Linked DNA regions of Anolis sagrei. The protein of the gene in region 4 interacts with the protein of the main gene of each other region in a pairwise test. Links are inferred from orthologs where the notes say so. Each region holds a gene or a part of one and is shown on either strand. Other genes may lie near its edges.

Region 1 (7,744 bases), on a different chromosome or scaffold from region 4:
TTACATTAAAATTCATAACAACAGCAAAATTACAATTCTGAAGTAGCAATGAAAATAATTTTATGTTTGGGGACTACCACAATTTTAGGAACTATATTAAAGGCCCATGATATTAGGAAGGTTGAGGACCACTGGTCTGGTCCTACAAAGACACACTAACTTCACACAGTTGAAGTTAGGAAACATATAAACTTGTATCATTGCATCAAAAATGAATCCTACAGAGTAACAAACTTACATATTTATTTATTTTGCATATTTGTATCCTATCCTCACTCTCGAGGGGGGAGTCCGGGCAGCTTCACAACAGGCAGCCATTCAATGCCATCACTCTAACTTACAAAAAAAGAGTTATAATTAAAATAATTTGTTAAAAACAATTATTGACACATTTATTTAAAATCACACAAGTACAACATCACAATCCAGGTCAATCATAATCAAGGTCATAGTCCTTGTATCCATCACAAAACACAGCATGGCTTCTCCAACTCCCAAAATAGAGAGCCAACATGTATCCTAAAATACACCCAGTTATACTCTTACCGGGTGTGGTCCAAACCTCCTGACCTTAATTAGCACCTGCATACAGTGATCACCAGCATGAGGAAGAAACCAGGCACAGATTAACAACTCCCAGCAACAGATTTTCCCAGACTCAGGCAGGCCTTCAAATGCTAATGAAGGTGATTAGCTAACATTCACACCTAACTGCAGCAGGGAAGAGCTCCCTGCCCCACCCCAACCATTCCACAGATATATAAACCCATTGTACTAATTGCAACCAGACCCTCTGAGGATGCTTGCCATAGATGCAGGCGAAACGTCAGGAGAAATGCCTCTAGAACATGGCCATATAGCCCGAAAAAACCCACAAGAACTGAATGAGTTTTTTTCCTTAACACATATATCTATTCCAACCTTGGTACTGATCCTTTCAAAACTCACCCCGTTTTCAGTATACCTTAATATGTTCTAATCAATTTTTTTTAGACTGTTGGTGTGCTACCAATGTTCATGCTTCCATCCTCAGAGTCTAATCCATGTTTTTGTTTGAAATGTTCAGCATAGAAGTTAAACAGATAGGCCGATAGGTCTATTAATGGCTATTAAGTATGATTGCATAATGAACCTCTATATTTAAAGACACTGTACCTCTCAAGTGAGAAGCATGACTCAAAGGCAAGCTTGTTGGAGACCTCCTGGTGACCAATGTTGGAAGCATGATGCTTGGTTAGATGGAATTTTGGTCTAATCCATTTTGTTATATTTTAGGCGGCTTTTCCTAACATAGGTTGAGCTACCATACCAACCTGCTACATTCTGGGTTGTCAGTGGGCCTACTGAGTAAGAGATGATGGAAACTAGCCCAGCACAAATACTAGCCAGATTTCCAAATATTGTTCAATGTCAGGATTACTGAAGGTATGCATGTATGGTTTTTAAATGTGTTTCTATATGATTAAGAATGGTGTTAATATGTATTCAAGATGGATTCTGTTATGTTCAATTATGTGTTGGAATTGTTGTTGTAAGAGACAGAGAGGTACAGAGAGAAGAGACCTTGACAGAAGTTAGATAACATGTTTCTCTGCTGGGAAGAAAAAGGGAGTTTCCAGCTTACAGCCAGAGAGCCTGATAAGCAGATGTTCCGAGACTGTACTGAAGCTGTGCTTTGTAGTTCCTGATTTTGCCCGCTTAGATGTAGACGTGTATTGAAATGTACTTAGCAAACTTTGTTATTTTAAAACTGGAAAACTGCAGAGTCCTGGAATTTTTGGAGTCCTGTGTCTGTTTGATCTAGCACCTCTTCCGCTGCGCATACACCCCCCAAATTTTAACTCTGATAGTTCAGAGGCATCATGATGAACAGGGGCAGTTTTGTGCCTAGGTGTAACGTCCTGTAGTTGATGGTAGTTGGCGTCATGCATAGCAGTTGGTGATGGGTAAAAGAAGATGATGACTGCTGCAAAGGGATAGAAGGGGTTAATCTCAGTCCTGCGTTCTAAAGGTCAGAGTAATCTATCTGTAAGAACTCACAAGCGGCTGAAATCCAAACAGCTGGTAAAATGCAACTTAAGAAGGCACCTTCAGAACCTCTATTGTTTGTAACTTGGGGACTGCCTGGGTAAGTAGCAACACTGATCCCTGGTTAAGTCGACCCACTCCCCCTGAAGACGCAGGTTCGCAGCTTGGGTGTGATCTTGGACTCATCGCTGAGCCTGGAACCCCAGGTTTCAGCGGTGACGAGGGGAGCATTCGCACAGTTAAAACTAGTGCGCCAGCTGCGCCTGTACCTTAGGAAGCCTGACTTGGCCACGGTAGTCCATGCTCTAGTCACATCCCGTTTAGACTACTGCAACGCTCTCTACGTGGGGTTGCCTCTGAAGACTGCTTGGAAGCTTCAAATGGTCCAACGATCAGCAGCCAGGATGCTAACAGGAGCGGCACTCAGGGAGCACACCACTCCACTGCTTCGCCAGCTCCACTGGCTGCCAATTTGCTACTGGGCACAATTCAAAGTGCTGGCTTTAGCCTTTAAAGCCCTAAACGGTTCTGGCCCGACCTACGTGTCTGAATGCGTCTCCTCCTATGAACCAGTTAGGACATTAAGATCGTCTGGGGAGGCCCTGCTCTCGATCCCGCCGGCTTCACAAGCATGCCTGGCGGGGATGAGAGACAGGGCCTTCTCAGTGGTGGCCCCTCGGCTATGGAACGCCCTTCCTGCAGATATTAGATCGACCCCCTCCTTGCTGGCATTACGGAGGAAAGTAAAGACCTGGCTGTTTGAACAGGCATTCGACTAAGCAGTGTGATTGATTGACTATCGGAACACGGAATATCGGATAACGGGTTTGGATTCTGATTTCATTGATGAGACCTGATGGATTTGTTATATTGATGTAGTGATATATTGATGCTTAATGATTTGTGATGCTATTGCTTTTAAATGCTTAATGATTTTGTATTGTGTATACCTAAATTGTTGTAAACCGCTCTGAGTCGCCTAAGGGCTGAGAAGAGCGGTATACAAATAAAGTAAATAAATAAATAAATAAATTTTGGGCCATTCTGAAAGGACAATTTCTGGAGACACATACAGGGATTTCTTTGCTGCCTCCAGGTGTTGCTTGCCTCCTTTGCAATTCCTCCAGGGAGGGATCCTATTGGCTGTTCATTCGTTCAGTCGTCTCCGACTCTTTGTGACCTCATGGACCAGCCCACGGCAGAGCTCCCTGTCGGCCGTCACCACCCCCAGCTCCTTCAAGGTCAGTCCAGTCACTTCAAGGATGCCATCCATCCATCTTGCTCTTGGTCGGCCCCTCTTCCTTTTCCCTTCCACTTTCCCCAGCATAATTGTCTTCTCTAGGCTTTGCTGTCTCCTCATGATGTGGCCAAAGTACTTCAACTTTGTCTCTAGTATCCTTCCCTCCAGTGAGCAGTCGGGCTTTATTTCCTGGAGGATGGACTGGTTGGATCTTCTCGCAGTCCAAGGCACTCTCAGCACTTTCCTCCAACACCACAGCTCAAAAGCATCGATCTTCCTTCGCTCAGCCTTCCCTAAGGTCCAGCTCTCACATCCGTAGGTGACTACAGGGAATACCATGGCTTTGACTAGGCGGGTCTTTGTTGCCAGTCTGATGTCTCTACTCTTCACTATTTTATCGAGATTGGACATTGCTCTCCTCCCAAGAAGTAAGCGTCTTCTGATTTCCTGGCCACAGTCTGCATCTGCAGTCATCTTTGCACCTAGAAATACAAAGTCTGTCACGGCCTCCACATTTTCTCCCTCTATTTTCCAGTTGTCAATCATTCTTGTTGCCATAATCTTGTTTTTTTTTTTTTGATGTTTAGCTGCAACCCGGCTTTTGCGCTTTCTTCTTTCACCTTGATTAGAAGGCTCCTCAGCTCCTCCTCGCTTTCGGCCATCAGAGTGATGTCATCTGCATATCTGAGATTGTTAATGTTTCTTCCAGCAATTTTCACCCCAGCTTTGCATTCATCCAGCCCCACACATCGCATGATGTGTTCTGCATACAAGTTAAAAAGGTTGGGTGAGAGGATGCAGCCTTGCCAGACGCCTTTCCCAATCTTGAACCAGTCTGTTGTTCCGTGGTCAGTTCAGTCCTATTGGCTACAGCCCAAAAAGTATATATAATTTCTCCAAACTTGGAATTTGCTGCGGGGTTCCCTTTGGAGGGAAGGAGAGAGGGAGGGAAGTTTCCTCGTCCAGCAGAGGGCGAAGCCAGCCTTGCTTCCTTCCTCCCTTCCTTCCTGAAGCCAAAGGCAGCCGGTGCGCCAAAGGAGCCGAGGCACCTGCAAAGCCCGGCAAACCAGGCGGGGAGGGAGCGCCCCATTGCGCACGCTTGCTTCCCTACCTGCCTTCCCTTTTACCTGGCGAGGGAGCGGCCAGGCAGCCCCGCCCCGTCCCTCCCCCTTCCGCTTCTCCCTCCCTTTGCCTTTCGTCCAGTAAGTTTTCCCCGGGAGACGGGCAAAGGTCGGGCGCTTCCCTCCGGCTTTGCACCGCCCGGCTCTCTCCTCTCCTCTCTCTTTTCCTCTCCTCTCCTCTGCCCAAGCGCCGCACTTCCTGGGCTCTTCCTCCTCCTCCTCCTCCTCCTTCTCCCGGGCCGGACTTTGGATTGTACCGAAGGGCTTTTCCTCCTCTTTTTGGGGCGCCTTTTTTGGATGCTTCGAGGACTGGGCTCGCCTTGCGCACCGCCCGCCAGGAGGACATGTCGGTGGCGGAGCTCTACACCAAGGTAAGGCCAAGGCCAGGCGTTTGGGGGATAGATACGTGTAGGGCAGCCTTTCCCCTTCCCATTCCCCCCCTCTGTGGGTTTCCCAGGGCTATTTGGGGGGCCTGGGAGCCCTTCTTTCCATGCCCCCCCTCCCCTTCCCGGCACCGCCGCAGATGGAGTTCCCTCCACTCTCCACTACTTTCTTTCTCTGCGCCTCACTTTTACGCTTTGCTTTGGACTTCAAGACAAGGTGCATCCACACTGTAGGGTTAATGCAGTTTGGCACCACTTGAACTCCCATGCCTCGAGACAGTGGGAGCCTGGGAGCTGCAGTTTTACAAGGTCTTCTCTGCCAAAGAGTGCAAGTGCCCCCCTAACTAAACTGCAACCTCCAGGATCCCCATAACATTCAGCCTTTCTCTGCTCAAGAGTGCAGGTGCTTCACTGACTGAACTCCAGGATCCCATAACAGGGAAAGAGGTGCCAAACTCCATTCATTCTGCAGTGTAGATGTGCTCCCAGTGTTCGTGAGGATCTCCGGATTCCTTTCAATGGGGATACAGAGTGAGGATCCCTTATCTGAAATGTTTAGAGCCAGAAGTGTCTTGGATTTTGGGATATTTTCATATCTATATAAATAAAAATGTAATGTTTGTTTGTGGGATTAGCAGAACTCAAAAACCGCTGGGCGAATTCACACCAAATTTGGACACAAGACACCTAACAACCCAATGTATGTCCTTCACTCAAAAAAAATTGATTTTGTCATTTGGGAGTTGTAGTTGCTGGGAATTATAGTTCACCTACAATCAAAGAGCATTCTGAACCCCAGCAACGATGGAATTGAACCAAACTTGGCACACAGTTCTCCCATTACAAACAGAAAATACTGGAAGGGTTTGGTGGGCAGTGTCCTTTGGTTTTGGAGTTGTAGTTCACCTAGATCCAGAGAACACTGTGGACTCAAACAGTGATGGATCTGGACCAAACTAGGCACGAATACTCAATATGCCCAAATGTGAACACTGGCAGAGTTTGGGGAAAATAGAATCTTGAGATTTGGGAGTTGTAGTTGCTGGGATTTGTAGTTCACCAACAATCACAGAGTATTCTGAACCCCACCAATGATAGAATTGGGCCTAACCTCCCACACAGAATCCCCATGACCACCAGAGTGGGCCACAGCAACGCGTGGCAGGGGACGGCTAGTATATAAATAAAAATGTAATGTATGTTTGTGGGATTAACATAACTCAAAAACCACTGGACGAATTGCCGCCAAATTTGGCCACAAGACACCTACTAACCCAAGGAGTGACCATCACTCAAAAATTGATTTTGTCATTTGGGAGTTGTAGTTTATTTATTTATTTACGACATTTATATGACGGCCTTCTCACCCCGAAGGGGACTCAGAGTGGCTTACAAGTAAAAAGTAAATACAATATATTATTATCATAGCACTATATTAATATTATATATTACATTGTGCTATAACATTATCCTGTAATATTATTAGTAATATTTATCGCAGAATAGTTGCGATGATTTATAGTTTACTTAAACAGTATTTCTTAAAATCAAAGAGCATTCTGAACTCCACCAAAGATGGAATTGAACCAAACTTGGCACACAGGACTCCCAGGACCAACAAAAACACTAGCAGGGTTTGGTGGACATTGACCTTGAGTTTGAGAGTGGTAGTTCACCCCTACATTCAGAGAGCACTGTGGACTCAAACAATGATGGATCTGCACCAAACTTGGCACGAATATTCCATATGCCCAAATATGAACACAGATGGAGTTTGGGAGAAATAGACTTTAACATTTAGGAGTTGTAGTTACTGGGATTTATAGTTCACCTACAATCAAAGAGCCCTCTTCACCAGGGCAAGAAAACGTAATCAAAGCCCTCCTGACAAAGAGCCACCCAGCCATAGATATAGATAGATATATATGATTCACACACAGGGAGATATAGTATCATAGATTTGAAAGGGACCCTAAAGAAAGACAATTATGTTGCATGTTCCAGAGTAGGCAAACCAGATACTCTCCACATCAACACTGACAAAGAAACAGGAAGAAATACTGTTTACCCACAAGCAGAAAGAAATTACATATATTAGAAACCAACACTTTCGAATTACTTTATTTTCCAGATCACCAGACTGGGCCACAGCAATGCGTGGCAGGGGACGGCTAGTCTATATAAATAAAAAGGTAATATTGGTTGATGGGATCAATATAACTCAAAAACCACTGGACAAATTGACACCAAATTTGGGCACAATACACATATCAGGGCAATGAGTGACCATCACTCATAAAAATACAGGAAAACACAGTAAAAGGGACTAAAAAAGCCAAAAAAAGCAAAAAGAAGCTACAGTGCATGTACAAAATGACTCCCCCTGGCAAACAAACACACAATAGCATATCCACATTCTCTTCTGGACTACAGTTCCCAGCATCTCCTAGACCAGGCCATTTAGGAGAGGAGGAGGATCCAAATGCCCTTTACATTTTTATTTATATACTAGCCGTCCCCTGCCACGTGTTGCTGTGGCCCACATGGGGGTTCTGTGTGGGAGGTTTGGCCCAATTCTATCACTGGTCAGGTTCAGAATGCTCTGTGATTGTAGGTGAACTATAAATCCCAGCAACTACAACTCCCAAATGTCAATGTCTATCTTCCCCAAACTCCACCAGTGTTCACATTTGGGCACATTGAGTATTCGTGTAGAGTTTGGTCCAGATCCATCATTGTTTGAGTGCTATCTGGATGTAGGTGAACTACAACTCTAAAACCAAAGGACACTGCCCACCAGTATTTTCTGTTGGTCATGGGAGAACTGTATGCCAAGTTTGGTTCAATTCCATCATTGGTGGTATTCAGAATATTCTTTGACTGTAGGTGAACTATAAATCCCAACAACTACAACTCCCAAATGACAAAATCAAATTTTTGAGTGAAGGACATACGTTGGGTTGTTAGGTGTC
Region 2 (8,054 bases), on a different chromosome or scaffold from region 4:
TAATAAAGCAATATAACAAAATAAAAGCAACAACATTAAGCAGCATATAAAGCGAACATTCAAACCAACAACCAACTGCAAAGTTCAATGTCTTGTAATGGGGTGGGCGGACTGGGGTCACAATATTAAATAAATAGTTTTAAATAAATAAATAAAAAATAAATATTAGAGGATAGAGCTAATGAGTGAGGTGCAGATAGCATATAGCAGTGATAAATATAAGGACGATTTATCATTAAAGATTTGGATGAGAGATTTTTGTACATTAATAAATGGAGATTTTTGTACATTAAAAAATAAAGACGTCCCCTAAAAATAATGTATCTTTTGGAGCAAAAATGAATATAATACCCAGCCTTATTTTCATGGAAGAGGCACGGAAGCTGGCAATATTGGTTCATCTGGGAGAACAATATATATATATATATATATATATATATATATATATAATACTAATATAATGCTCAATCAACTACCAAACTCACACATTTTGTATTTTCTCTGTTTGTTTGCTTTGTTCTGTTAGAAATGTAATATAATTGACTGGTTGCCCTGACACGAGAAATAAATTAAATTAAATATAATGCTATGGTTATAATATATTATATTATATATACATATACTATTGATAATATTATAAAATAACAGAATATAAGACTAATAATAATACAGTACAATATATAATAATAGTCATATAACAATACCAATATATTAAATGCAACACTGCTGATAATATATATAATGATAATATTGTGTTATTATTGCAATGTTATTGATTGGGAACCGCTTTAAGCCTCCGTAGGGAGAGATAAAGCAGAATATAAATCAATCAATCAATCATCAGATCCATAACATGGAAGTTAACACAGGGTTAACACAGGGCTGTTAAAAACCTAAACAAGGGCCTTGAAAAGCTCGAAACCAGGAGTGAGGCCTAGCGCGCGGCTGAAGCCTCGGTCTCCGTTAGGGAGTTACCTCTTCGCGCCGAAGGGAGGGACGCGCTGAGGAGCCGTGCCGCCGCCGCGCAGGAACCGCAGGCCGCCATCTTGGCGCCGTCGTTCTTCCCACCTCAGAAGACCGAGACCCGGATGTAGCGTCACAGCCTCCGCGAAGAACGGCGGTGGGACCACAACTCCCGGCAGCCCCCGCGCCGAAGAGGCCGCGCTGATCAACCTCGAAGCGTACGATTTGCCTTCTGGGAAGGAGAGGCCAATGCACGAGAGGCGTGTGCGCAGGCGCAACTCACTATCTAGGAAGTCAGAGCTCTTCTTACGCGTTTCCCCTCTAGGTGGCGGGCCATCCTAGGGTCTATCTATTTTCCTATCTATCTATCAGTGCGATGCTACTCTGCTGCTGAGTATGCATGCTCAGTGTGGAACACATCTCACCACACTAAAACAGTAGATGTGGCTCTTAATGAGACATGCCGCATTATCATGGGATGTCTGCGCCCTACACCACTGGAGAAATTAGACTGCTTAGCCGGTATTGCACCACCTGACATCCGCCGGGAAGTAGCAGCCAATAGTGAAAGGACCAAGGCAGAGACATCTCCAGCTCATCCCCTGTTTGGGTATCAGCCAGCACGTCAACGACTTAAATCTAGAAATAGTTTTCTAAGATCTACAGAGACACTCGCTGGAACACCCCAGCAAGCGAGAGTCCAAAAGTGGCAGGCCCAAACCCAGCACCTCATTTCATGGGTGATACCAGATGAGAGACTCCCCCCTGGGCACACAGAGGACATGGCGACTTGGAAGGCGCTGAACAGACTGCGCTCTGGCACCACGAGATGCAGAGCCAATCTTAAGAAATGGGGCTACAGGGTGGAATCCTCGGCATGCGAGTGCGGAGAAGAACAAACTACTGACCACCTGCTGCAATGCACCCTGAGCCCTGGCACATGCACAATGGAGGACCTTCTTGCGGCAACACCAGAGGCACTCCAAGTGGCCAGATACTGGTCAAAGGACATTTAAACAACTACCAAATTTGCAAAATCTGTGTGGTTTTTTTCCTTTTTTCCCCTTTTCTTTTTAATCTCTGTGTTTGTTTTGCTCTGTTAGAATTGTAATACAATGGTTGCTGATGACACGATAAATAAATAAATATCAGTGCTTCTCAACCTGGGGTCCCCAGATGTTTTTGGCCTACAACTCCCAGAAATCCTAGCCGGTTTACCAGCTGTTGGGATTTCTGGGAGTTGAAGGCCAAAAACATCTGGGGACCCCAGGCTGAGAAGCACTGACTGATCATGGAACAACAGGCTGGTTCAATGTTGGGAAAGGCATATAGCGAGGTTGTATACACTCCCCCAACATATTTAACTTGCATGCAGAACACATCATGCGACCTGTGGGGCTTGACGAATGCAAGGCTGGGGTGAAAATTGCTGGAAGAAACATTAACAACCTCAGATATGCAGATGACACCACTCTGATGGCCGAAAGCAAGGAGGAGCTGAGGAGCCTTCTAATCAAGGTGAAAGAAGAAAGCGCAAAAGCTGGGTTGCAGCTCAACATAAAAAAGCCCCAAGATTATGGCAACAAGAATGATTGACAATTGGGAAATAGAGGGAGAAAACGTGGAGGCCGTGACAGACTTCATATTTCTAGGTGCAAAGATTACTGCAGACACAGACGGCAGCCAGGAAATCAGGTGACACTTACTTCTTGGGAGGAGAGCAATGTTCAATCTCGATAAAATAGTGAAGAGTTGAGACATTACACTGGCAACGAAGATCCACAGAGTTAAAGCAATGGTATTCCCCGTAGACACCTACAGATGTGAGAGCTGGATCTTAGGGAAGGCAGAGCGAAGGAAGAGAGATGCTTTCAAACTGTGGTGCTGGAGGAAAGTTCTGAGAGTGCCTTGGACTGCGAGAAGATCCAACCAGTCCATCCTCCAGGAAATAAAGCCCGACTACTCATTGGAGGGAAGGATAGTACAGACAAAGTTGAAGGACTTTAGCCACATTATGAGAAGAAAGGAAGGCTTTAGAGAAGACAATAATGCTGGGGAAAATGGAAGGAAAAGGGAAGAGGGGCCGACCAAGGGCAAGATGGATGGATGGGATCTTTGACATGACTGGATTGACCTTGAAGGAGCTGGGGGTGGTGACGGCTAACAGTGAGCTCTGGCATGGGCTGGTCCATGAGGTCACGAAGAGTCGGAAACCACTGAACGAATGAACAACATTTATTTCATAAAATTGATTTGGATTGCTTGGGGGCCCTCCCAACTCGAGGAATATCTATCTATTTGATTATTTATCTATTCTGCCTATCTTCCCATCTTATCTATCAGCTATTATAGGATGGACTGGATGGTCTTTGATGTGTCTTCCAACGCTAGGAATCTAGAGTTGTGCTATGCTAATAATATAATATATATAGATATAATCTTGATAATATTTTTTATTTATTTATCATATTAGGAGCAAACCATGGGTACAGTTGCAATGCATTTAAAAAACAAGTTTTTTTAAAAAAAAAACTTGGCATATTAAATGTTCTTTGACCAGTAGCTGGCCACTTGGAGTGCCTCTGATGTTCCTGCAAGAAGATTCTCCATTGTGCATGTGGCAGGGTTTCTGTGGTTTGCTCTTCTCCACACTCGCATGTTGTGGACTCCAGTTTGTGGCCCTATTTCTTAAGGTTGGCCCTGCATCTCGTGGTGCCAGAGTGCAGTCTGTTCAACGACTTTCAGCTCGGTTGTTGTGGTTTTTTTCCGGCTATATGGCCTTGTTCTAGAGGCATTCTCTCCTGACGTTTCGCCTGCATCTATGGCAAGCATCCTCAGAGGTAGCCACCTCACCTCACTACCTCTGAGGATGCTTGCCCTAGACACAGGCGAAACGTCAGGAGAGAATGCCTCTAGAACAGGGGTCCCCAAACCTTTTAAACAGAGGGCCAGGTCACAGTCCCTCAAACTGTTGGAGGGCCAGATTATAATTTGAAAAAAAAAACATGAATGAATGCACACTGCACATATCTTAATTGTAGTGCAAAAATACTTTAAAATGAAGAACAAATATTAACTTATTAGTATTTCAATGGGAAGGGTGGGCCTGCTTTTGGATGATGAGATAGGATTGTTGTTGTTGTGTGCTTTCAAGTCGTTTCAGACTTAGGTTGACCCAGAGCGAGGGCCGGGTAAATGACCTTGGAGGGCCGGATCCGGCCCCCGGGCCTTAGTTTGAGGACCCCTGCTCTAGAACATGGCCATATAGCCTGAAAAAACCTACAATCCAGTGATTCCAGCCACGAAAGTCTTCAACAACAGACTTTCAGCTCGTCCACTCTTCTGTGAGCTCAGGGGGGAGTTTCCTCATTTGGTATCAGCCATGGATTGAGGTTCCAGGCTTTAGCCTGCCACTTTTGGACTCTCGCTTACTGAGATGTTCCTGTGAGTATCTCTGTACATCTTTGTACTATTTCTTGATTTAAGGCGTTGGAGTGCTGGACTGGGAATGTCACTGCGTCAGGAGAGAATGTTTCTGGAACATGGCCAGAGAGTCCAGAAAACTCACAACAACCCAGCTTCTGCTGGTGGTGAAATCCCCTTTAAACTTCAAGGCTTTGTGCGCATGCGTGGCTGGAGCCTCCACGTGATTCTTCCCTGCGTCCCCTTCCCGCCCCTTTATGGGGAGCCCCGCCCACTCGGCTTTGTGACGTCCGCTGATTGGCTGGCGCCGCACACCTTTCGTCTCCGCCTACTTGGAGAGACCAGGAAGTAGGGACTGGAAGATACCATTCGAGCGGGAAAAGGGGAGGGACGGTGTGTTTGTTAAGGTGGTTTCGTCCACCCGCCCGTCTCGAAACGGAGGAAAACCTGGTAAGGATTGAAAAAGAGAGGAAGGGAGTGCCTTTGTTCAGGTTTTTAGGCAGTGGGTAAGCGAGAGACCCCAAATCATGCCTTTGGGGGAGCCTAAAGAAGAATGGTAGATCCCAGCTTGCCTCCCTTAGAGGAATGGCATGCCCCTGATAGGGAAGCTGGGCTGAGTCAGGTGCCTTGTTTGTTTGTTTGTCTGTCCCTGATCTTCACCTTCTTCCTGTTGGTTGTCATTATTTGCATTATGCATTTCATAAAATACATCATGTGTATATATATTCTGTAGGTTGTATGGATTTTTGCATATATTTTTATTGATCTTGAGTTATATGAAACCTGGAACTTAGGTATATTTCAGTGATGCTAATGATTGATATAGTATTTTAATGGGGTATTTCCCCCTGCATTTTATAATCTGGTTTCTGTGTACCTTTTATGTATTATATATTATACAATATAGTACAATATATTATATCATAATATAATATAATAATTGTATATTACATATTGCATGTAATATTACTAATAAGGTTGTACAATTATTGGTAATATTACAATATAATAATATATTGTACTAATATTGTGGTATGCTAATCCTCACTTTGAGACACTTTGAGAGTGTTTGAGGACCGGGACATCCGTAGGGATACCAAGGTGTTTGTTTATAAAGCTATTGTCCTCCCAACTCTGCTATACGCCTGCGAGACGTGGACTGTCTACAGATGTTACACGCAACTCCTAGAATGATTCAACCAGCATTGCCTCCAAAAAATCCTGCAAATCTCTTGGGAAGACAAGCGGACAAATGTCAGCGTGCTAGAAGAAGCAAAGACCACCAGCATTGAAGCGATGGTCCTCTGCCATTAACTCTGCTGGACTGGCCACGTTGTCCGGATGCCCGGCCACCTTCTCCCAAAGCAGTTGGTCTACTCTCAAGAATGGAAAACGAAATGTTGGAGGACAGGAAAAGAGATTTAAAGATGGGCTCAAAGCCAACCTTGAAAACTCTGGCATAGACACTGAGAACTGGGAAGCCCTGGCACTTGAGCTCTCCAGCTGGAGGTCAGCTGTGACTAGCAGTGCTGTAGAATTTGAAGAGGCACGAACGGAGGGTGAAAGAGAGAAACATGCCAAGAGGAAGGCGTATCAGGCCAACCCCGACTGGGACCGCCTTCCACTTGGAAACCAATGCCCTCACTGTGGGAGAACATGCAGAGCAAGAATAGGGCTCCACAGTCACCTACAGACCCATCGCTAGGACACCAATCTTGGAAGACAATCCTACTCGGATAACAAGAGATCGCCTAAGTAAGTAAATATGCTAATAATGCATAATGGTGTAACATTAGAAACTGTTGACCATTTCTGTTCCCTTGGCAGCCACCTCTCCATAAAAGTCAACATTGACACTGCTATACAGCACCACCTGAGCTCTGTGAGTACAGCATTCTTCCAAATAAAGCAGGTGCTTGTTTATAAAGCTATACGCCTGCAAAACGACTGTCTACAGACGCCACACTTACTTAGGCGATCGCTTGTAGCCCGAGGATGATGGTTCTCCAAGTGTAGTGTCTTGCCGGTGAGTCCGTAGGTGGCTGTTGAGCCCTATTCATGATCCGCATGTTTTCCCATAGTGAGGACATCAGTTTCTGTGTGGAAGGCGGTCCCGGTCAGGGGCCGCCTCTTGGCAGATTTCTCCCTTTCATCATTCATTCGTGCCTCTTCGAATTCTGCAGCACTGCTGGTTGCAGCTGATCTACAATTAGAGCGCTCAAGGACCAGGGCTTCCCAATTCTTGGTGTCTATGCCACAGTTTATAAAGTTGTCTTTAAGCCCATCTTTCAATCTCTTTTCCTGTCCACCAACTTTATGTTTCCCATTCTTGAGTTGGGAGTAGAATAACTGCTTTGGGAGACGGTGATTGTGCATTCGGACAATATGGCACTAAGTCCGGTGGAGTTGATGGCGTAGGAGTATCACTTCAGTGCTGGTGGTCTTTGCTTCTTCCAGCATGCTGATATTTGTCCACCTGTCTTCCCAAGCGATTTGGAGGCAACACTGATGGAATCGTTCCAGGAGTAGAAAGTGATGCCTGTAGACAGTCCACGTTTCGTAGGCATATAGCATATAGCGTATTTTGTTCCATAGTGTTATTGCAAATGGAAAGAGACCATGAGACGCTCACCGCTTTGGTAGTGAGATATACAGTTTTCTTGGGGACTTTGCAAAGAATGTAAATAATGTCCCATAATCCTGAAGTGGAGCCTTTGGGCTGGATTGTCAAGGATCCAAACCCTTTACTTTGTCTCCCATTTTTTGTGCAGCTTTCTTCAAGTGGAATTGTACAAGGCGCACAGCTGCAGTTTGCCTTATATATAATGTAATGCATGACTGGTTTCATAGGAATTGTTTGCCCTGCCAGTGTATTTCTTGCTTTCTGTTCTTCCTGCCACTTTGTACGTAACAGACACAAACGCCGTGTTTTCAAAATCACTTCCCCTTTCTAAACATTTCTCTCAAACCGAGCCAAAGGAGCACAGTTCGAAAGAGAAGATTAATCCACTGCTCAGAGCGGCGAGCAAGCTTTGCCTTGAATGAATCCATTGTACGTCTGAGTACCTTTTGTGTTTTTAGCTGAAACGCATGTTCTTTTAGACAGAAACGTCTCCCTTTATGTTTCAGGTGTTCCTCACTGTGGGCTCGCGACCATCATGGGAGAGATTAAAATCTCTCCGGACTATAACTGGTTCAGAAGTACGGTTCCTCTCAAAAAGGTAAGTTCAACCTCTAAATATAGGCTACATCAGGTCAATAGATGCAAGGAAGCTTCTGGCTGGGTGGAGTGGCCATCTAGTTGGGTGGAGTGGCCCAGATCAAGAAATAAAATGCCCCAGGGCAGCAGAACAGAGGCCACTTTGAGTTTCCTTTGGGGAGATAAAGCGGAGAATAATAATAATAATAATAATAATAATTATTATTATTATTATTATTATTATGATATCTCGGACTTGGCAATGTTTACATGGCCTAAAGAAGTGGAGCTTCTAGGATTTTTAGTATAATGTTTTAAGTATAACCTTAGTGGCCTGAGGCCAGGGAATTTTAATAGTACATTAAATATAATATAATATAGTATAATATATTGTATAAACATATAATATTGATGTATATACAATATATATATATATATATATATATATATACACACACACACACACACA
Region 3 (7,651 bases), on a different chromosome or scaffold from region 4:
TACTGGAGTTATTTGAGGAAAATCCACCATGACTTGGGGGAGTTGTAGTTCACCTACATGCAGAGAGCACTGTGAACCCAAACACCAATGGACCAAACTCAGCATACATACCTGATATGCCAAAATTTGATTACTGGAGAGGTTTGGGAGGAACTGACCTTCCTTTCTGGGAGTTGTAGTTCACCCATAACCAGAGAAACTGTGACCTCCATCAATGATGGACCTGGACCAAACTTGGTACACAGAACCCCCATGAGCAACTGAACCTACTGTAGGAGTTTTGAGGGGACTGACTCACCATAGTGGGAATTGTAGTTTACTCTACAGCCAGAGAGCACATTGAACCCTACCAATAATGCATCTAGAGCAAACTTGCCCAACATAACAAACTTGAAGTACTGATGGAGGTTTTCAAGGTTATCCTGGCACAATATGAGTTGCAGCTCATCCACAACCTTATGCATTTTGTACAATTAAAACATTGATTTTTTTAAATAACCTGGGCAAAGCCAGGTACTCAAGTAAGTGTATATGTATGTGTGTGTATACACACTCACACACAAAAGATCAGAGTTTCTTCTGCCAAGAAAGAGCATACAGCACAACCCAAGCTGCCCTGTACCTCGTCATCCACTTCCTCCTCTTCCTCCTCGCTGGTGTCCTCTCGCTCCACATGCCAGTCCTCTCCCTCCACTTCGGAGTCGCTCTCCCCTATCACCTCCGGCTCCACAATCTTTCGGTGCCGCGCCAACCTCTCCTCTACGTCCTCTGAGATGCGGTTCTGGAGGCGGCGCAGGCGGGGGTCGCTGGCCAGCTCCTCCTCCTGCTCCTCGGGCTCTTGCTCCTGCTCCTTGGCCTTCTTGATGAACTGGAATTCCTCCTCCTCCTCATCCGAGGATTCCATGGGCGCATAGTCTGGGCGCTTCCCCGAGACATAGCGCTTCACCTTCACCTTCTCCATGGAGATCTCCCCTGAAGATATGAAGCAGAAAAAGAAAGGGTCACCAAATCATCTATCTATGCAATAAAGGTCAAAATATTTGTATATTTGTTAACATATGTATCAGCATATGTGTTTATCTATTTTTCCACAAACTCAGCACGCATACTTGCACAACCAGCTTAAAATACTGGTGACATTAGGGAGGCACAATAGTGCATGATGGGAACTGAAATCAAGGCCCTTCAGGGGTGCTGCCTGAGCCCCACTCACAACTGAAGGAGGGCATGGGAATTACAGCTGGCCAAACGTGGACCATGTGAGGGTTGCATCCTTCACCTGAACCATTTTAGAAATGATCCCATTATGCAGCAATATGTTTTCTAATGGGTCCATTCATAACAACCAAAACCAAACAAACAACTCTTCCTAATAAATAGGACTACAAAATATCTAACATGGGTACCACCGGGAACATAATAATAATAATAATAATAATAATAATAATAATAATTCTTACCCGCCCCTCCTCACGGCTCAAGGATCCCCTGTCTTTATTATGATTTTAGAGATTTGTAATACTGGTAGCCAGATTTTTTTATTAAATAAAGACTGGGGAGCTCCGGACAAGAAACAATCAGGGACAGCTAATCACCTGGAGCCCCTGGTGGCACAATAATAATAATAATAATAATAATAATAAAGCTTTATTTGTACCCCGCTACCATCTCCCGAAGGAAGAAGCCCCCGGTGGTGCAGTGGGTTAAACCCCTGTGCAGGCAGGACTGAAGACTGACAGGTCACAGGTTTGAATCCGGGGAGAGGCGGATGAGCTCCCTCTATCAGCTCCAGCTCCTCATGCGGGGACATGAGAGAAGCCTCCCACAAGGATGATAAAAACATCAAATCATCCAGGCGTCCCCTGGGCAACGTCCTTGCAGATGGCCAATTCTCTCACACCAGGAGTCACTCCTTACACGACAAAAAAAAATCTCCTGAAGGACTCGGTGCAGCTTACAAGAGGCAATGGGTTAAACCCCTATGCCAGCAGGACTGAAGACCAACAGGTCACAGGTTTGAATGCGGGGACATGAGAGAAGCCTCCCACATGGATGGTAAACCACCAAAACATCTGGGCATCTCCTGGGCAATGTCCTTGCATATGGCCAATTCTCTCACACCAGAAGCGACTTGCAGTTTCGCAAGTCGCTCCTGACATGACAAAAAAGCTAATAATCTCTCAACGAAGGATGCCCCCAGGCAGTAAGAAGCCACACCTTGAAAACTGCTAGGCCATTAAATGCTAATCAAGGTGGCCCATTGGAACATTCACACCTGCTTCAAACAGACAAGCGTTCTTTCTCCCATCCTAGACATTCCACAGATATATAACCCTAGTTTCCAACAGACCTCACAACTTCTGAGGATGCCTGCCATAGATGCAGGCGAAACGTCAGGAGAGAATGCTTCTGGAACATGGCCATGCAGACCAGAAAACTCACAGCACCCCAGTAATTCCGGCCATGAAAGCCTTCGACAACATAGTAACAGCAAAGAATAAGAATAGGAAGGGATTTTTAAAGGTGCTTCAGTCCAACCCCCTTCGGCCAGGACGGAAGACACGATCAAAGCTCTCACGACAGGTGGCCACTCGGCCTCTGTTCAAAGAAGGAGACCAGAAAGGAGGAGGCGCAGAAGAAGCAGGCCTCAGCGGGGCCCGAATATGGCCACGTTCTCACCTTTCTCATTTCGGACGGGGACGGCCCCCGCCGTGGACTGGATGGGCGGCTGCTTCATGAGGGCGCTGCTGGAGCCCGACATGGCGGCGGTAGAGGCCGTAGAAGCGGCAGAGGCAACACTAGGCACGGCGGATCCCTCTCGCTTCGCCTCTCGCGGGGAAACCCGGAACCGGAAGCTTCGTAGGTAAACAAGCCCAGAGGGAGCGCGTGACTTCCGCTCCCAAAGAGGACCAACGAGCGGAGCTGGATAGAGCGACTCATACCGTCTGCGCCCTCTGTCGGCGCGGAAGCGTCTTCCTGGGCCAGACTTCTTCCGGAAAAGGTGGCAGACGGGGATTTCCTCTGAGGCTGAGAGAGTGTAATCCAGGCCTGGACCAACTTGGGCCCTCCAGGTGTTTTGGACTCCACATCCCACAATTCCTAACATCCTCAGGGACCCTCCTTTCCCCTCTCAGCTGCTTAAGAACAGGCCTGGACCAACTTGGGTCCTCCAGGTGCTTTGGACTCCAACTCCCACCATTCCTAACAGCCTCAGGCCCTTTCCTTTTCCTTAAGCGGCTGAGGGGGGAAAGGAAGGGACCTGAGGCTGTTAGGAATGATGGGAGTTGAAGTCCAAAACACCTGGAGGGTTCAAAGAGCCTGAGGCTGTTAGGAATGGTTGAAGTTCAAGTCCAAAACACCTGGAGGGTTCAAAGAGCCTGAGGCTGTTAGGAATGGTGGGTGTTGAAGTCCAAAACACCTGGAGGGCCCAAAGAGCCTGTGGCTGTTAGGAATGGTGGGAGTTGAAGTCCGAAACACCTGAAGGGCTCAAAGAACTTAAAGCTGTTTGGAATTGTGGAACTTGAAGTCCAAAGCACCTGGAGGGCCCAAAGAGCCTGATGCTGTTAGGAATTCTGGGAGTTGAAGTCCAAAACACCTGGAGGGCCTAAAGAGCCTGTGGCTGTTAGGAATTGTGGGAGTTGAAGTCCAAAACACCTGGAGAGCTCAAAGAGCCTGAGGCTGTTAGGAATTGTGGGAGTTAGAGTCCAAAACACCTGGAGGGCCCAAAGAGCGGTTGTTAGGAATTGTGGGAGTTCAAATCCAGAACACCTGGAGGGCCCAAAGAGCTTGAGGCTGTTAGGAATGGTGGGAGTTGGAGTCCAAAACATCTGTAGGGCCCAAAGAGCTTGTGGCTGTTAGGAATGGTGGGAGTTGAAGTCCAAAACACCTGGAGGGTCCAGGTTTGTCCATGCCTGGTGTCATCATTGGAGCAGACGCTAATGATGCAACCCTCTCTTCCCCTTCTTTCATCTTGACAGACGGGAAGTTAACGTTGTTTGTTGTCCTAAAGGGCCTAGAAGGGGAGCTTTGTTTATCTTCTGATAAAGCGTTGTTTATCTTCACTAGGTCCCTCTTTGAGAGCCTCTGTGCAAACAAGGAAACCAAGGGCAGCCTGTGCTTTGATGACATGCTTCGCCTGTTGCCTCTGGCCCTTTGCCTGGGCCTCAGTGGCAAAGGGGCAGAGATGCAGAACAAATGCAGCTGGACACCAGGTCACTTGTTGGACCAATAGAGTCCCAAGAGTTACAGTTTTGCAAGGCCTTCCTGCCATAGCAAGTTATACTGCATCAACTCTACAAGGGAGATGCACCCTCCCATTGCACTCCGCTGTTTAGGCAATTCTGGTCCCACAAACTTGGCTGCTATATTGTCAAGATCAGGAAGACCAGACCAAGGGCAGCGTTCATACTGCAGCTTCCTTGGTTAAGGGAGTCCAGCAGAGATTGTATTATTATCTGAGACTTTTCTTTTTCAGTTTTCAAACGCTAGTAAAGGTAAAGGTTTTCCCTTGACATTAAGTCTAATCGTGTCCAATTCAGGAGTGGTGCTCATCTTTGTAACTCATTACCTGGTGAGATTAGGCAAGCCCCCACTCTAGCAATCTTTAAGAAAGATCTGAAAACCTGGTTCTTCAGTTGTGCCTTTAGAGAGTGACCATTCATCCCATTTCTGTCTGTTCCATCTACAGTGTTGTCCTTATGATGCACTTTCTCCCGTCCTAAATTGAAGGCCTAACCGTACTGTTCGTTCTTTTTGGGCTCCTCTCAAATACACTTTTTCTACTCCTACCTCATTCAAGGTTTTATCATTTTATCTTGTCCATTTGGCCTGCCCATTGTGTTCGATTTTCTATTATGCTATTTTGCTTTGTTTACTTTATTTTGCCACTGTATGTACTTTATTGTGATGTAATTTTTGTTGTTGTATTATGCACTTTATTTTGCTGTATTGTATCTTTAGGCTTGGCCTCATGTTAGCTGCCCTTAGTCCCCTTCGGGGAGATGTGAGGTATAAATAAAGATTATTATTATTATTGTTATTATTATTATTATTATTATTATGCATGGAGCGCCTTTATCTTCGGGTCGAAGCAGTACCTATTCATCTACTCACATTTACATGTTTTCAAACTACTAGGTTGGCAGAAGCTGGGCCTAACAGCAGGAGCTCACTGCTCTCTGGATTCGAACCGCCAACCTTTCAGTCAGCAAATTTAGCAGCTCAGTGGTTTAACCCGCTGTGCCACCAGGAGGCCTTTTTCAAACTTTATTGAATTAAAAAAATGTTTTAACATAAATATATGTTAACACTTGGATTAAGAGGCATTTTTCATATTAATATTATCATTCCTTTTATAAAGCAAAACAAAACTGCAGTAAGTTCTACTTTTCACTTGAACATATGACCCGTTAGATATAGCTGTGTAATTCAATTACTCAGTTTCACTGTGGTGAAAGATGGAAAATTATGAGCAATGTTATATTAGTTTCCAGGGTACAGGATTATGTTTAATTACAACTAGAACATGCATATTAGTTAATATAGATGACTTGCCCATGGCATTTTGTCAGTCAAATTATTTTGTCACACGGATTAAAGAATTGACAAGATAATCTAAAAATAACAGTATCAAACTATAATCCAACCACTTCCTTTAGCCTCATGGTAGAGCCATCCCTGGGTGCTCCCTCATGTGTGGTCATTTATCTGACACTTTTAAGGAACCAACAATTGGATGGAAAACTGCTTTTGACTTTTCTACCACTGCGCTATAGAGAGTGTTCTAACTTATTGCATCTGCATACGGTTTGCCAATTGCACAGCGGGAGATACGAAGGCATTCCAGAGTGTTACTTCTCACTCCTGCCCAGAGTATTATGGGTTTCCCTTTTTCTCTCCTCTTTGGAACAATGTCATACTTCCAGCTGCCTTAAGAAAGCTCAGAATATTCTTAAGGATCCATCTCACCCTGGATATTCTTCTTTTTCGTCTAATTATTATCATCTGAAGAGGTGGGATAGGATGAGCAAAACAAGGACAAATAGGCTGAGAAAGAGGTTTTATCCCAGGGCTGTGATTCTTTTAAATTCTAGGGTTCCACACTGTGGAAGAATGGTGCTTTGTTTTTGTCATCATACACATTTAATGGGTATGGGGGGTGGCATTAAATTTTGTTGTATGATGTACAATGACAATGAAGTCATTTTATTCTATTCTTGACCAGACCCCTGGCCTCATGGCTTCCTCACATCAGGGGCTCCAGGTGCCCAAGGGATGGATCAGAGCTGGCCACAGGAAAAGAACATGGAGTTTTCTCCTTGCACGTTCTCAGAAAGAGCAGGTCGGATCAGAAAGGGGAACAGGGCTGCCTTCTATCCATGTTCAGGTGGCATTGAGGAGATGGGTGGGCAGCACTGACCTGCACTAGTAAGGATTCAGAGAATATCCCTCCTGGAAGTCTTTTGTCAGAGGAGTCATAATGAGAACTGAAACAATAACAGAGAGGTGGACACATTGTCCTCAGGTGCATCACTTTGTGGATTAGGGAAAATGCCAGCGAGATAAGAAGGCCAGGAGAAAGAGGCGTTAAAGGTTGCTGTCTCAGAAGGTCCCAAAGAAAATGACCTAAGTTCCCAGAAGGTGATCTTCCTTGGAATCACTTGGTCCTCCAGTGGGCTGAGTGAAAGGCTGGGGCACTCTCTCAGCCACAAGGGCAAACCTCCTCTGAACAAATCATGCCAAGTAAACCCCATGATGAAGTCTCCATAAGTCAGTGACAACACAAAGGCACCAAACAACAACAACACTCATTGGATCCCATGCGAGTCAATGCTATGTCCAAACATCATGGGAGCCTTGTGAGGACAGCAGGCTGGTCATTTTCCTTGTGTCATCTCCCCTTCCAATCTGGCCATAAAAATGGTCACATGCGTATGTATTCACATTTGTTTGTTTCCCCCTTTTTTTATAGCATTGCCTTCACTTTTTCACTTTCAATTTCCCCTGGACCATTGATTAGCAGACTTGCAGAGCTTTGATGTTGCCATTTCGAAGCTAATTCTCACCTAAACCTTTTTTTCCCTGGCATACATAATTCTGAAAATAGGGCCTGGCCTAGTTTCTAATAAGGTTGGCCCCTTGGAAAGCAAACTTATCTTAGAACCATCTTGCATTTGGGTTAAAGATCAGAATGAGATGTAGGTGTTAGATCTGTGGCTTGGATCTAGAATCAAATGAATTCTTTTTGTTCTAAAACTTTTGCAAGTTTGGAAGAACAGTTCACCTTTTGGATGTTGATTAGGGACACTTACTCCTATTACTAACTTTCTAAACGATAGCAGTTTTAGCCCTTTGGATGCCCTGAAAAGTTTTGCCCTGCTTTTTGCATTTTAAGCTGTGTGTGGGAGGAAGTCAGATGGCTGAGTGACCTATGGTTTAACTTTGGAAAGGCAAGAACAGTGAGAAAAGCCACGGAGGAGGAGGAGGAGTTGTGTGTGGAGGAGGGCAATGAGCCAAGTGCTTTGGCGGAGCTGGTTTTGTCAGATACGTTCTTCTTAGGTGACATTTAACATCACTGGCGGATTATGAAGTGCTCAAAGAGGCTTCCAAAGTATACTCTTACTACCATTGTACAATTAGATTGTGCAAGTAT
Region 4 (8,219 bases):
CGGTCGAAAGTCTCCTTTGCGGAGAGAAAAAGCAGGGGATAAACAAACAATAACAATAAAAGTCTCATTTTCAGAGAAAAGTTGGGGATGAATAAACAACAACAATAAAAGCCTCCCTTGCAGAGAGAAAAAGCGGGGCATAAATAAACAACAACAACAATAAAAGTCTCCTTTGCGGAGAGAAAAAGCAGGGGATAAATAACAACAACAATTATAAAGAGAAACAGGGAATAAATAAACAACAACAACAATAATAAAGAGAAAATGGAATAAATAAACAACAATAAAAGTCTCTTTTGCGGAGAGAAAAAGCGGGGGATAAATAAACAACAACAACAGTAATAAAGAGAAAAAGGGAATAAACAACAACAATAAAAGTCTCATTTGCAGAGAGAAAAAGGGAATAAAACAACAACAATAATAAAGAGAAAAAAGGAATAAATAAACAAGAACCACAACAATAAAAGTCTCCTTTGCAGAGAGAAAAAGGGAATAAATAACAATAATAAAGAGAAAAAGGGAATAAACAACAACAATAAAAGTCTCATTTGCAGAGAGAAAAAGGGAATAAAACAACAATAATAAAGAGAAAAAGGGAATAAACAACAACAACAATAATAAAAGTCTCCTTTACGGAGAGAAAAAGTGGGGGATAAACAAACAACAACAATAATAAAGAGAAAAAGGGAATAAATAAACAACCACAATAATAAAGGGAATAAATAAACAACACCCACAATAATAAAAGTCTCCTTTGCGGAGAGAAAAGGGGAATAAAACAACAACAATAATAAAGAGAAAAAGGAAATAAATAACAACAACAACAATAAAAGTCTTTTTTGTGGAGAGAGAAAACGGGGGATAAATAAACAACAACAATAAAAGTCCTTTGCGGAGAGAAAAAGGGAATAAATAACAACAACAATAATACAGAGAAAAAGGGAATAAACAAACAACAATAAAAGTCTCATTTGCAGAGAGAAAAAGTGGGGGATAAATAAACAACAATAATAAAAATCTCCTTTGCGGAGAGAAAAAGCGGAGGGTAAACAAACAACAACAATATGTTGTGTGGTTTTTGGACTATATGGCCATGTTCTTCCAAACTACAGGAAAGGAGATTCCTCCTGAAAATTAGGAAGAACTTCCTGACTGTGAGAGCTGTTCAGCAGTGGAACTCTCTGTCCTGGAGTGTGGTGGAGGGTTTGAAGCAGAGGCTGGATGGCTATCTGTTGGGGGTGCTTTAAATGCAAATTTCCTGCTTCTTGTCAGAATGAGGTTGGACTGGATGGCCCACGAGGTCTCTTCCAACTCTATGATTCTAGCAGCATTTTCTCTTGACATTTTGGCTGCACCTCAGGCCCTTTCCTCAGGCTGTATGGCCATGCTCTAGCAGCATTTTCTCCTGACATTTTGGCTGCACCTCAGGCCCTTTCCTTTTCCCCCTCAGCCGCTTAAGCGGCTGAGGGGGAAAAGGAAGGGGCCTGAGGTGCAGCCAAAATGTCAGGAGAAAATGCTGCTAGAGCATGGCCATACAGCCCAGCAGCCGGACCCCTGGACGCTGCAGGACGTGAGGGGAAAAGCAAGGAGGCCATTGTGTCCTGACAGAGGAAAGGGGGAGGGGTAAAGTGACCCCCCCCCCCTCCATTCACCTGGAAAGAATCCTCTGGCTATTTATTGTTGTCTCTCTCCTGCTGCCCGGCCTTTTTCGGTGCTGCGGTCACTTTGGCGGCTGGTGCTATTTTGGAATGAAGGAAGCCATGCTGGCCAGCCCCCCCCCCCAAAAAAAATTCACATTGGTCAACAAAGCCCACGTCTGCGTTTCTGGCAGTGCTCAGGACCCCCTGCATTTCATGCCAAGAGTTTCTCAACCTGGGGGTGTCAGAGGGGTCACCAAAGACCATCAGAAAACACAGTATTTTCTGTTGGTCATGGGGGTTCTGTGTGGGAAGTTTGGTCCAATTCTATCATTTGTGAGGTTCAGAATGCTTTTTGATTGTAGGTGAACTATAAATCCCAGCAACTACAACTCCCAAATGGCAATGTCTATTTTCCCCAAACTCCGGCAGTGTTCACATTTGGACATATTGAGTATTCGTGCCAAGTTTGGTCCAGATCCATCACTGTTTGAGTCCACAGTGCTCTCTGGATGTAGGTGAACTACAACTCCCAAACTCAAGGTCAGTGCCAACCAAACTCTTCCAGGATTTTCTGTTTGGTCATGGGAGTTCTGTCTACCAAGTTTGGTTCAATTCCATTGCTGGTGGAGTTCAGAATGCTCTGTGATTGTAGGTGAACTATAAATCCCAGCAATTACAACTCCCAAATGTCAAGGTCTATTTTCCCCAAACTCCACCAGTGCTCACATTTGGGCATATTGAGTATTCGTGCCAAGTTTGGTCCAGATCCATCACTGTTTGAGTCCACAGTGCTCTCTGGATGTAGGTGAACTACAACTCCAAAACCAAAGGACACTGCCCACCAAACTCTTCCAGTATTTTCAGTTGGTCATGGGGGTTCTGTGTGCCAAGTTTGGTTCAATTCCATCATTGATGGAGTTCAGAATGCTCTTTGATTGTAGGTGAACTATAAATCCCAGCAACTACAACTCCGAAATGACAAAATCAATTTTTTGAGTGAAGGACATACATTGGGTTATTAGGTGTCTTGTGTCTAAATTTGATGTCAATTCGTCCAGTGGTTTTTGAGTTCTGTTAATCCCACAAACGAACATTACATTAAAGCCCAACTGCTCATTGGAGGGAAGGATAGTAGAGGCCAAGATGGCCTCATCATGAGAAGAAAGGAAAGCTTGGAGAAGACAATGATGCTGGGGAAAATGGAAAGAAAAGGGAAGAGCGGCCGACCAAGAGCAAGGTGGAGGGATGGCATCCCTGAAGTGACTGGATTGACCTTGAAGGAGCTGGGGGTGGTGACGGCTGACAGGGAGCTCTGGCATGGGGTGGTCCATGAAGTCAGCTACAGAAGGCAATGATGCTGGGGAAAATGGAAGGAAAAAGGAAGAGGGGCCGACCAAGGGCACAGTGGGTGGATGGCGTCCTTGAAGGGACAGGATTGACCTTGAAGGAGCTGGGGGTGGTGACGGCCGACAGGGAGCTCTGGCATGGGGTGGTCCATGAGGTCACCTAGAGAAGACAATGATGCTGGGGAAAATGGAAGGAAAAAGGAAGAGGGGCCAACCAAGGGCAAGATGGATGGATGGATGGCATCCTTGACGGGACTGGCTTGACCTTGAAGGGGCTGGGGTGGTGACGGCCGACAGGGAGCTCTGGCATGGGCTGGTCCAGGAGGTCACCTAGAGAAGACAATGATGTTTGGGAAAATGGAAGGAAAAAGGAAGAGGGGCCAACCAAGGGCACGGTGGGTGGATGGCGTCCTTGAAGTGACTGGATTGACCTTGAAGGAGCTGGGGGTGGTGACGGCCGACAGGGAGCTCTGGCGTGGGCTGGTCCAGGAGGTCACGAAGAGTCGGAGACGACTGAACGAATGAACAACAACAATCACCACCACCAGCATCCATCCCCAGGAGCAGAATTCAAAGGGATCTCCAGATGTTGGGCCAAAATTAACACCGTGAAGTTCAACAGGGACACACGCAAGAGACTCCACGTAAGCAGAAAAAAGGAAACGCAAAGAGACAGAATGGAGGACGATGATGCAGTGCGTGGGGAAAGATCTGGGAGTCCTCGAGAGGAAGGAGAACATGAGCCAGATGTTGTAGGTCTTCTGAATGAGCACAGACTACATTGTCATCAGCATATTGGAATTCTGTAACAGATGTTGTAGGTCTTCTTCTGAAGGTGCACAGACAACGTTATCATCAGCATATTGGAGTTCTATAACAGATGTTGTATATCTTCTGAATGCACACAGTCTACATTTTCATCAGCATATTGGAAGTCTGTAACAGATGTTGTAGGTCTTCTTCTTCTCGAGTTATGCTCATTTTTTTTGGAAGTATTGACACACCAAGCTCAAAAGGTTGCCCATCATTGTTGTAGGTCTTCTTCTGAATGCGCACAGACTACATTGTCATCAGCATATTGGAAGTCTGTAACATATGTTGTAGGTCTTCCGAATGAGCACAGTCTACATTTTCATCAGCATATTGCAGTTCTATAACAGATGTTGTAGGTCTTCTTCTGAATGCGCACAGACTACATTGTCATCAGCATATTGGAATTCTGTAACAGATTTTGTAGGTCTTCTGAATGCGCACAGACTACATTATCATCAGCATATTGGAGTTCTATAAAAGATGTTGTATATCTTCTGAATGCACACAGTCTACATTTTCATCAGCATATTGGAATTCTATAACAGATGTTGTAGGTCTTCTTCTGAATAAGCATAGACTGCATTGTCATCAGCATATTGGAGTTCTATAACAGATGTTGTATATCTTCTGAATGCACACAGTCTACATTTTCATCAGCATATTGGAATTCTGTAGCAGATGATGTAGGTCTTCTTCCGAATGAGCACAGACAACATTGTCATCAGCATATTGGAATTCTGTAACAGATGTTGTATATCTTCTGAATGAGGACAGTCTACATTGTCATCAGCATATTGGAATTCTGTAACAGATGTTGTATATCTTCTGAATGAGGACAGTCTACATTGTCATCAGCATATTGGAATTCTGTAACAGATGTTGTAGGTCTTCTTCTGAATGCGCAGAGACAACGTTGTCATCAGCATATTGGAGTTCTAAAACTCTTGGACTAAAAACTCCTCCTCTGGACTATGAATCTATTAGAGTTAGTGCTGTGTGCCAGAGGCGGGAAGGGGGTTCAGTGAGGTCTCCCCCTCTGGGGTGTTTCCAGCAGAGGCTGGATGTCCATCTGTTGGGGGTGCTTTGACTGTGCTTTTCCTGCATGGCAGAGGGTTGGCCTAGATCCCCATGAGGAGAGGCCTAGGATTCCATGGCCCTATTAATAGAAAGCACATGTTGATGATTATGATGATTGGTGGGTGGGGGTCTGCACCAGAGGGGTGTCGTCGTCACGCTCCCCTTGAGGCGAGTGACTCAGCGCCACCTGATGCCGCCGACAGCTGGACCCTCGGTGCCCCACCCTTCCTGGATGACCTCGAGCAGGAATGGGAGCCTGGCATGCCTTGGGGGTCACGTGGGAGGCTAAAAATACCCCCCAGAGAAGGGCCAGAGGAGAAGAAGGAGAGTGGAGGGAGACCCTTCTCGTCCTCCTTCTCGTCCTTCTGCTTCTGCTTTGGGATGAACTTCCCGGGGGGCTTCAAGTCCTTGACCGGGGGGAGCCCCTCGGGCCAGAGCATGGACAGCCTGGAGAAGCAGCTCATCTGCCCCATCTGCCTGGAGATGTTCTCCAAGCCTGTGGTCATCTTGCCCTGCCAGCACAACCTCTGCCGAAAGTGCGCCAACGACGTCTTCCAGGTGCGGTCAAGGGGTCAGTGGTCAAGGGAACACCCCCCAAATGTTTAGGGTCTTAACTGGGTTTAAGGCAGGCCTGGGCCAACTTCGGCCCTCCCTCCAGGTGTTTTGGACTCCAACTCCCACCATTCCTAACAGCCTACCGGCTGTTAGGAATGGTGGGAGTTGGAGTCCAAAACACCTGGAGGGAAGGCCGAAGTTGGCCCAGACCTGCCTTAAGGCTTTTCCTTGTTCAATGTATTGTCGAAGGCTTTCATGGCTGGAATCACTGGGTTGTTGTAGGTTTTTCTGGGCTATATGGCCATGTTCTGGAGGCAATTTTTCTCCTGACGTTTTGCCTGCATCTATGGCAAGCATCCTCAGAGGTAGTGAGGTCTGTTGGAACTAGGAAAATAGGTTTATATATCTGTGGAATAATGTCCAGGGTGGGACAAAGGACTCTTGTCTGCTGGAGCTAGGTGGGAATGTTTCAGCTGATCACCTTGATTTGCATTCAATGGCTTGGAAGCGCCTGGGGGGAACCTTTTGTTGAGAGTGATTTTATGTGCCTGGTTGTTTCTCGTGGCTTGACTCTCATGGCTTCTTCTCGGTGGTCTTGCAGCTCTTCTGATGTCTGTGGTGGAGTATGCTGCACCTCTCAACAGGAGATTTCCCAGGCTCAGGCAGGCCTTCAAATGCTAATGAAGCAGAGAGGAAACAACCAGGCACAGCTTAACACCTCTCAGCAGGAGATTTTTCCCAGGCTCAGGCTCATTAGCATTTCACCTTCAAATGCTAATGAAGGTGAAACATTCACACCTAGCTCTAGCAAGGAAGAGCTCCTTGCCCCACCCCAGCCATTCCACAGATATATAAACCCATTGTCCTATTTCCAACAGACCTCACTCCCTCTGAGGATGCTTGCCATAGATGCAGGCGAAACGTCAGGAGAGAATGCCTCTAGAACATGGCCATATAGCCCGAAAAAACCTACAAGAACCTTGTGATTCCGGCCATGAAAGCCTTCGACAATACAATGAAGATGATGATGAGGATGATGATGATGATGACCCCGCCCTCCCCTGAATCGACGCCCTCCACCTTTATCTGGCCTATTTATTATTTTTTGAAACACAACAAGACGAGTACACAGTAAACAAGATCACTTTGCTGGTCTCTGTATGCAAGGCACACAGAGGCTATTTAACATTCCAGCTTTTTCATGATGGTATTCTGGCCACCAGGGGAGCTGTTGCTTCACCGTCCATTTGTGACACTGATGGAGTACTTCCTCATTCTTTGCATGCTTGCTGGAGATTTTTATGGAGTCGTAAATTAGTTAAGTTAGCCTCCCCGCACAATCTGAGGATGCTTGCCAAAGATGCAGGCGAAACATTAAATCCAGTCGTGCCTGACTCTGGGACTCTGGTGCTCATCTCCATTTCTAAGCTGAAGAGCCGACGTTGTCTGCAGACACCTCCAAAGCCACTGGCAGGACTGCCCTTACCTTCTCGCCAGAGCGGTACCTATTGTTCGACTCACATTTGTATGTTTTCAAATTGCTAGGCTGGCAGAAGCTGGGGCTAACAGTGGGAGCTCACCCCAGCCCCCAGATTCAAAGCTGTGACCTTTCGATCAGCATGTTCAGCAGCTCAGCGGTTTAACCGTCTGCACCACAAGGGGGGATCCCTTCTATGATTCTATGGTTCATCAAAGCCCAGGCAAACTCTATGAAAAGACCCTCACTGACTGACTTTCCCAACTTCCTGGCTGCTCAGTGCTATTCAGGCTGGCTAATTGCAACATCCACGCTTGCTTCTTTCTCTTGCCATGAACATCATTCCACAAATAGATATACACCCCACTTGCCTCACTTCCAACAAACTTTTGAAGATGCCATGAGCCACAGGTGCAGGCGAAACATCAGGAGAGAATCCTATTGTTACATATGGTGTGATCCATAATACCCCCAAGCACAGCAGTTTCTGGCGTGGAGAGGGAGTCCCCTAAGCAGAGGCCAGGTGGATGGCCGTCTGTTGGGGGGGATCGGGTGGTGTCACCTTTGAAGATGCCATGAGCCACAGGTGCAGGTGAAACATCAGGAGAGCATCCTATTGTTACATATCGTGCGATCCATAATACCCCCAAGCACAGCAGTTCCTGGCGTGGAGAGGGAGTCCCCTAAGCAGAGGCCAGGTGGATGGCCGTCTGTTGGGATGGTTCGGGTGGTGTCACCTTTGAAGATGCCATGAGCCACAGGTGCAGGTGAAACATCAGGAGAGCATCCTATTGTTACATATTGTGCGATCCATAATACCCCCAAGCACAGCAGTTCCTGGCATGGAGAGGGATTCCCCTAAGCAGAGGCCAGGTGGATGGCCGTCTGTTGGGGGGGATCAGGTGGTGTCCCTTCCAAGGCTAGGGCTCTAGTCAAGGGGCAGCTCAGCAACCCTCTTGGTCCGCCTGTCTTGCCAAGGAGCACCTTGTTTAGAACCCTAGTGTTACACTAGCCTTGCAAGGGACTCCACCCGATCCCTCCCGACAGAGGGCCAGCCCCTTTTCCCCTGCTCCTTCTGACCCGCTTTCCTCCCCCGGCAGGCGTCGAACCCGCTGTGGCAGTCGCGCGGCTCGGCTTCGGTGTCGTCGGGGGGCCGGTTCCGGTGCCCGTCCTGCCGCCACGAGGTGGTCCTGGACCGGCACGGCGTCTACGGGCTGCAGCGGAACCTCCTGGTCGAGAACATCATCGACATCTACAAGCAGGAGTCCGCCCGGTAAGAGACGAGCCATTTGTCCTGCCCACTGTGTCCGA

What was found.
Region 1: the proteins of TRIM54 (region 4) and MYO5B interact in binary tests that used the Homo sapiens proteins (3 or more experiments, as listed by UniProt). The two-hybrid records come from large-scale screens. The link is inferred for Anolis sagrei from reciprocal best matches to the Homo sapiens genes TRIM54 and MYO5B.
Region 2: the proteins of TRIM54 (region 4) and SPG21 interact in binary tests that used the Homo sapiens proteins (3 or more experiments, as listed by UniProt). The two-hybrid records come from large-scale screens. The link is inferred for Anolis sagrei from reciprocal best matches to the Homo sapiens genes TRIM54 and SPG21.
Region 3: the proteins of TRIM54 (region 4) and MFAP1 interact in binary tests that used the Homo sapiens proteins (3 or more experiments, as listed by UniProt). The two-hybrid records come from large-scale screens. The link is inferred for Anolis sagrei from reciprocal best matches to the Homo sapiens genes TRIM54 and MFAP1.

Annotation. Positions count from the first base shown.
Region 1 is NC_090022.1:287,337,736-287,345,479, forward strand, and holds the start of MYO5B (unconventional myosin-Vb), read left to right. Parts: upstream 1-4,264; 5' UTR 4,265-4,733; coding exon 4,734-4,760; intron 4,761-7,744. UniProt on the Homo sapiens protein: May be involved in vesicular trafficking via its association with the CART complex. The CART complex is necessary for efficient transferrin receptor recycling but not for EGFR degradation.
Region 2 is NC_090029.1:18,381,517-18,389,570, reverse strand, and holds the start of SPG21 (maspardin), read left to right. Parts: upstream 1-4,695; 5' UTR 4,696-4,836; intron 4,837-4,881; exon of another isoform or gene 4,882-5,008; intron 5,009-7,331; exon of another isoform or gene 7,332-7,438; intron 7,439-7,515; 5' UTR 7,516-7,544; coding exon 7,545-7,607; intron 7,608-8,054. Other genes in the region: CLPX (ATP-dependent Clp protease ATP-binding subunit clpX-like, mitochondrial), read right to left, coding at 976-1,045. UniProt on the Homo sapiens protein: May play a role as a negative regulatory factor in CD4-dependent T-cell activation.
Region 3 is NC_090029.1:22,573,549-22,581,199, forward strand, and holds the start of MFAP1 (microfibrillar-associated protein 1), read right to left. Parts: upstream 3,111-7,651; 5' UTR 3,107-3,110; coding exon 2,680-3,106; intron 973-2,679; coding exon 623-972; intron 1-622. UniProt on the Homo sapiens protein: Involved in pre-mRNA splicing as a component of the spliceosome.
Region 4 is NC_090021.1:828,518-836,736, reverse strand, and holds the start of TRIM54 (tripartite motif-containing protein 54), read left to right. Parts: upstream 1-4,969; 5' UTR 4,970-4,972; coding exon 4,973-5,434; intron 5,435-8,008; coding exon 8,009-8,181; intron 8,182-8,219. UniProt on the Homo sapiens protein: May bind and stabilize microtubules during myotubes formation.